Yarrowia lipolytica: one gene and its partner. The protein of the gene in region 2 purifies or fractionates together with the protein of the main gene of each other region. This does not show direct contact. Links are inferred from orthologs where the notes say so. Each region holds a gene or a part of one and is shown on either strand. Other genes may lie near its edges. The genes, in order: YALI1_B27254g and YALI1_F04259g.

Region 1 (3,958 bases), on a different chromosome or scaffold from region 2:
GTCGCCACTCTTCCAGAATAATGTACTCATACTAATACTTGTATGTTCATCAACTTCGGAAAAAACTTGGTGTGTACTTATAGTCTGATGAAAGAGATACCAGGGCTCATACCGAGGCAGCTCGTATCAATGCATACTGAAGATATAAATAAACTGGGTGCGTCGTTATCAGGGTAACAGATCAGAGTCAATCTGGCTCATCTCAAGATAACAGCAAGTCGTTGATATGAAAAGTGCACATCGCGTTTGATATATATTTGTGTTTCCCCCAGCCGTCGTCCTTTCCCTTCACCAGACACGGGATATATATATGCGCTTGTGCAACAGACATACATCAGACAGTTTGTAGCGAAGAAGGGGCAGTGACTAACAGTTCTCAGCCAGCGATTGAATAGGCCCGGACTACGGCTACAGCAGCTACATTTATCCAATCGCGTTGTCATTCGCTTCACCATTCGCTTCACACATGGCTCACACATGGCTCGCTCATGGCTCTATCACTCATCGTGCCACGTTAACTCATACTATATACATCTAAGCTTTGGGCTCAGTGGGCTGCTGGGGCACAGGAGGTAGAGAACCAATGCTGGAGACAGCCTCCGACAGGTTCTTAGGTCCCATAGCCTTCTGCTCAGCAATCATTCGCTCCTCCTCGGCCTTGAGCTTGGGGCCCTCAACGGCCAGGTACTCCAGGAACTTCTGGTACTGCTTCTGGCCCTCTCGTCGCATCACGTCGTGGGGCATCAGAGGCTTCTGCTGCTTGGGCTCGGAGACACCCAGGAACTTGGAGGCCCACTGGCCGTCCTTTCCGTGCTTGGCGTACCAGTCCTTTTCGAACTTTTCTCGGGCAATGGCCTCTCGTCGGGTGAACTCGTCAGGCAGATAGGTGCCATCAAAGGCCTTAAGAATGGGTCGAACGTCGTTCACGTTCTGAGACACCAGCCATTCCAGGAAGGGGATCAACTTGACCAGCTCCTTGTCGCCGGGAGTTCCCTTCCAGGGCTCGATGGGGATGGAGTTCTCGGGCTGCTTCATGGTGCATCCGGTATCGGGGTCGATGATGATGATCTTGCCCATATCTCGGTTCATCAGAGACAGGTCCTTGACCAGCTTACCGTCCTCGTAAGTGGTGTGCTCTCGGGTCAGAACGTGGGAGAACCAGGCGTGGTAGGGATCAAGCTTCATGATGAGCTTCTCGCAGTTGGCCATGTACTGAGAAGAGAAAAGAACAATCTCATAGTACTGGCCGAGGTAGCCCAGGAAGTAGTCAACGCCAGGTCGCTTTGCCACTCGCCAGCCATGCTCTCTGCTCCACTCCTGGTGGACAAGCAGATCGTCGAGGGCAATAACAAGCGTCAAAGGTCGCTGGTACGGGGGAGCAGGGGGATCGGGGAGAAGAACGGGAGCCACGGGGTCTCGGTAGAAGGAAAAGGTGTCTCCGATTCGAGCCTTGAGACGGGCCCACATGAGCATGGGGGTGTATCCCTGGCCAATGGTATCATGCTTCTTCTTGTCCTCCTCATTGTCCCAGTCTCGGGCCAGGTAGGCGGCGAAAGCTGCTGATCCAGCAAAGAAGGCGTAGTATCCGTAGCCGGCAATTCGCTCTCGAGACTCCTGCTTGGAGGTCTGGTCGGTGGACTTCTTGGCAGTTCCGGCCCATCGGGCTCGCTGCTCGTCTGTGACATCGTCCTCAGTAGCTCCCTCGGCAGCACCCTCGGACTTGCCCTCAGCAGCAGGCTTGCTCTTGCCCTTGGACTCATCAACGTCCATACCGGCCTGGGCCAGCAAATCGTCGTTCAGCAAAGAGCTCTGGAACGGTTGGTCGGATTTCTCGGTTTTTTTGTCCGAGTAGAATCGCACGGCGGGGGTCATGGCCCGCTTGACACCGGGACGTGCCACCCGTGCAATCTGGGCTGCTCGCAGTAGACTGTGCATTGTGGATGATGAAGAGTCAATGTGCAGTGGAAAATCTAATATACTTTGTTTCGGGGCCTACAGACTTCTACAAGGCGGTAATGTGGAGTGACATTTGCCACTGACGAGAGCCAGTGGACTTGGGTGTTATAAGGCAGCTTGGGTGGCGAGTATTCCCACATTTTTATTTTGAGGATTTCCATTTCCGCCATTCTATTCATCTTTACGTTGGTCGTTTAGCCCTCCGTATGGATTTTCTGTACACTTCTTTAACCCCGAAATTTCAACGGTGAAAATGACGGTTCATGTTTTCCTTTGGGTTCTAAAAGTGATGTCAAGTGATGCGTTCTGAGAAATCGAGTGCGTCTCCCACCAAAAGTGTAATTGTCTTAGTCAGACACCGGCTTGATGTCGGTGATGCTGGGGAGGGAGGTAGGGTCGATTTTGAGGGCTAAAATAAGACAATAACGAGAGGTGATTCGTCTAAGTGTACTGTCTGTCACTATCTTTACAGATTGGTATACTTTTCGAGATGTTGTCTTTATCAGAACCCCAACTAATTTCCAACTATTTGAGCCATTGGTACTTAACCTATTACTTACAGGAATCCCTTATCTTTCTTCACTGATTCGATCGAACACTGCCCCTTGCATAGCAAGTCCAGCTTCGAGCTTACAGCGAGCTTACAGTGCACACAGAAAAAGCCGTGAGTGTTTGTATGGCTCCCATACAGCTATTTGTAGGTTGCCAGGTTGGGACACAGGGTTAGGACAATGATCGAGAGATGTTACGAGCCACAGGTACGAGTACAAGGAACCCGAGCCAGGGAGAGCCATAAAGGGCTCGCATCGCAAACGAGGCTACCAGTTGGGAAGTATTCGGTCCAAATACAACATAGACAGGCTCAGAGTAGTGTAGCTAGGTAATTAGTCTAAAAAGTGATCGGCGGGTTTTATGTGGGTTCCATGGGGACTGGGCGGCATTTATATGGAGCTGGTTGCTGAGTGATATGAAGAAGCGTTGTATACCTCTGAAACACAAGACAAAACAATACCACCAGACGCAACTATTGTCTGGTTGCTACCGGTACTCGCGCGTACATTGTCACCAAACAACATCAGCAGCAATACTTATATATGTACGTACAGCTTTTTAATATACTTATGCCCAATCCACAACTGCGATAATGGTATCTCAAAACCTCCAAACCCAATAAATGACACTGCATGCTGAGAGAATTGAGGTTAACCGTAAACGGGAGAAGTTGAGAGCTGCTAAGAAGAATAATATCAGAACTGGCAGCAACGGAGGCTGTATATGCCGCAAGACAGTAGTGATACAACCACAGCCCCACCATACACTCTCGTCCTATCATCTGCAATTTCGTTCCAAGACAAAGTTTGGACTGGGTGCATGAAAAGAGGTCTGTTCCACGTGCCTCCACTCCAAGACAAGGCGGTCAGTATAGACTGTGCGTAATACAGACCGTGTGTCTGTTACCCGGAAGACCGCAGCTTATCAGCCGTATGAGGTCACTGAAGGTTAGGGCATTTTGTGGGGCTGAGCGCTCCCAGATGTGCACTTGTCTCACAGCCGTAGGTTTCTTACAGTACAGTACGTGTTGTGTTATAACGACAGTGGTGTTAGAGGTGGGGAAATGAGGCTGGTAGAGTGGTGTTTAAAGGAAGTGCTCTTTTGAATCTACAGTACAAGTACGAGAATTGCACAATCCGTCATATGTGGACTAGTGAAAAGCCGTTTAAAACTGGGGCTTGGATAACGTGAGCACCTGTATATTTCGACCTTTCGATCAGCCCAGTGCATTGCATTGCCGCAAGAAAAAAAGGGTCACACTCGAACACGTCTCTCTTCAGTGTGTTTATGAATGCCATGCGTTTTTCTGCCATGGCCAGAACTTGCTGGAAAACAAGTGTTCTAAATATAGTTGGAAAAGTGGAGTGCTCAGGATGGTGGAAAAAAAGTGGGCGTACTCTTATAGAGAGAAAATAGTCGATAAATGTACCGATGCGATAAGAAATCGACT
Region 2 (2,941 bases):
CACATCTATCATAATGATAACCAGGTTATGTATATTTCTCGTACAGTGCCATATGCAACTACAGTTCAAGTACACTCATAGTGGCCCCCTTATAAAAGCTAGGAAGCTACAAGTAGTCAGATACTGGGATCTTAAAGGAGCTCTTCGAACTTGGATACTCTCCGCGAAACATCAGTATAAGAGCTCTGACCACTCGTACATGGTAGGAGATCTGTTACCCCCTAACAAGGAAAGCACACAGTAGTATCTGTTTCTAAGTAGAAGCAGCCTCCATAAAGTGTTGAAATTGAAAGGACGGGATCATCCGTATCTTAACCTGCTGCAAGTATCGTACTGTTTCGTCTCTTCTGGCGTACAGTAGCTTCCTTACAGTACAGTATGTAGCACCTGATAGGACAGAACTATCGAGAGAAAATAAGCAGCAACGTGCCACAGAATAATGAGCACACCAGGGGCCTATATACGAGTATAGTCTACTTGTTTTTGTACTCTCCTTCGATCGGCCCTTTCAAATGTATAGCTATGGTATGTGCTGAACTGCATAGACTGCTTGGTTCCCCATTACTGCTCGGTTTCTTCCTATGTCACCACTGCGTAGTTCACCAAAGAGTCCGCTCCTGATTTACTTTCATTCTATCCGGTTACGGTTCCGTATCATCATCTCGTTATGCTATTTACAAAACACTTTTACTCACACCGAGTTTGTGCCGATCTGTCCCTATCTCTCTCATTATTTTTTCTCCTCTTCCTTCTTCTTGGGTTCCTCGATCTCGGGCTTGGGCAGCGGGTCCAGCTCCAGCTCGCCCCGGATTCGCTCCATGGCTCGGTACACCTTGGATTGCAGGTAGAAGGAGCCCGACTTGTGCTCCGAGTTGACAGTGTACAGATGAGTGAACTTCTTGTCGATTTGAGCCAGCACTGACTCGGACTCTGCAATGTCCTCCAGCTTGTGTTTCTTGTTGAGCTCGGCAACCACCTTGTCGAGGGCGGTCTCGTCCACGTCGAGAATCTTACAGGCCTCGTCCAGCTGGAGTCCTCCAAACTTGGATGCTGCCGACTTGGAGGTCTTGGAGGCGGCCTGGGCGGTAGCAGCCTGCTTGTAGGCCTGGGTGAAAGCCTTGGCGAAAACCTGGGTGCCGGTCACGACAACTTGATAGATGAGTCTGTGGGCCATGGTGAAATGTGTGTGGTGGTTCTTAGCGGTGTGGAGAAAAGATTTCAGGTTTTTGCCAGAGTTTATTGTTTTGGGAGGTTCGAGGTTGGGAACTCTAAAAGTAAGTCGCAAGACTTGTAGTCGTGCGGATGGACTAGATGAAGGAGTTTCGGTATGAAAATGTGATGGGATTTTTCGCGTTAATCAACTCTTTACACTCTTATTTTTTCCACTTTACGACTTTACTTTACCACCCCAATCGGTCTTTTAATCCTACCCCTTGTCTTAGCTTGTCATACACTCTGCTGCACATGCACTCAGCCTAAACCTCCAAACTTCATCACCACCAGACACACACTCATCCAAGGTGAACAAACAACGAGCATCCCGCAAACAGTACAACACATATACGATATTAAACGACACAGTTCGAATCTACAACAATACCCATCCGTTTGTCGCTGACTAATCACTCCCCTCCACTATGAAATACGCTGTGGACGCGGGTATCATCAAATGCATATGCGGGTTTGACGAGGACGACGGTTTCACCATCCAGTGCGAATCCTGTAACGTGTGGCAACACGCCGTGTGTGTGGGAATCGGCTCCGAGGCGGAGGTTCCAGACGTGTATCTCTGTGACCAGTGTGGACCTCGAGAACTGGATGTCAAAGCTGCCCATGAGAAACAAAAGACTCGCCTGGAGACTATCAAACAGATGCAGGAAAAGAAACGAAGGAAAGAATCGGAAGAGAAGGAGGGCCAGTCAAATGGTGACGCGTCTGCAACTACCCAGGCCACGCAGACTCCTCCAGTGGCCCCCTCTAGAGAATCAACGGAACAGCCCAACAATGAGGAAAACGACTACCATTTCGATTACACTGTGATCCCCAGAAATACCGTGGACCCGGAAGTCAAGGATTATCTTGCCAAGTTGGCCAATGAGGAAATTATTGACAAGGACATCAGTTACATGTCTCTATCGGAGTATTCAAAGATTGTCAAGCCTAAGATGACCTTAAAGCTGTTCCAAGACAATCCAAAGTCCAAGTTCTGTGGCTTTTCTAAGCATGGACTTGTGGCCAATCAGCCTATTCAGAAAGACCGCTTCATCATCGAGTACGTGGGTCATGTTTCACATAAGGACCAGTACAAGGCAGACCCAATCAACCAGTATCGCATCCATCCAGTGCCCAAATCGTCAGTCTTGTTCCATCCAACGCTTCCTCTAGTGATAGATGGTCGTCTTGTAGGCAATGATGCGCGGTTCATGCGCCGTTCGTGCAATCCAAACTGCAGAGTGGCGACTGTCGTGGTTAACAACACCGATATCATTTTTGTCGTGTTTGCAACTGAACCAATCAAGCCAGGTACGGAGTTGACACTCGCATGGGAATGGGACACTCATCACCCCGTGCAAAAGATGCTTCATGGCACTGAAATCGACCAGCTCACCCCCCAAGAGAAACTGTGCCTGGGCAACATGGTAGAGACAATTCTGCAACGAACAGAGTGCTCCGACCCCACAAATTCTCAGTGCATTTTGCAGAAAATGAAGAAATGCGTGTCTGCAAACCCCCGATCTGTGCGAGGCTCGAAAACAAGAGCTCTTAACCTTCTTAAAGAGACGAATGGCGAGGGAGGCTCTTCGTACGAAGATTCGGGCAAGTCGTCATCAGCATCACCCAACCCGGAGCTCCTTCCTGGCTCTCAGGAGCTCAGTGTGGGTTTTGGAATTGGCTCGTCGTACAAAGGTTATGGAGGTTACGGAGGCATTCAGTTCCCGTC

What was found.
Region 1: the proteins of YALI1_F04259g (region 2) and YALI1_B27254g purify together in Saccharomyces cerevisiae (affinity purification with western blotting, with the first as the bait; 4 studies listed by BioGRID). This does not show direct contact. The link is inferred for Yarrowia lipolytica from reciprocal best matches to the Saccharomyces cerevisiae genes PAM16 and TIM50.

The regions. Positions count from the first base shown.
Region 1 is NC_090771.1:2,723,422-2,727,379, reverse strand, and holds YALI1_B27254g (uncharacterized protein), read right to left. Parts: upstream 1,936-3,958; coding exon 535-1,935; downstream 1-534.
Region 2 is NC_090775.1:424,786-427,726, forward strand, and holds YALI1_F04259g (uncharacterized protein), read right to left. Parts: upstream 1,175-2,941; coding exon 731-1,174; downstream 1-730. Other genes in the region: YALI1_F04264g (uncharacterized protein), read left to right, coding at 1,638-2,941. UniProt on the Saccharomyces cerevisiae protein: Essential component of the PAM complex, a complex required for the translocation of transit peptide-containing proteins from the inner membrane into the mitochondrial matrix in an ATP-dependent manner.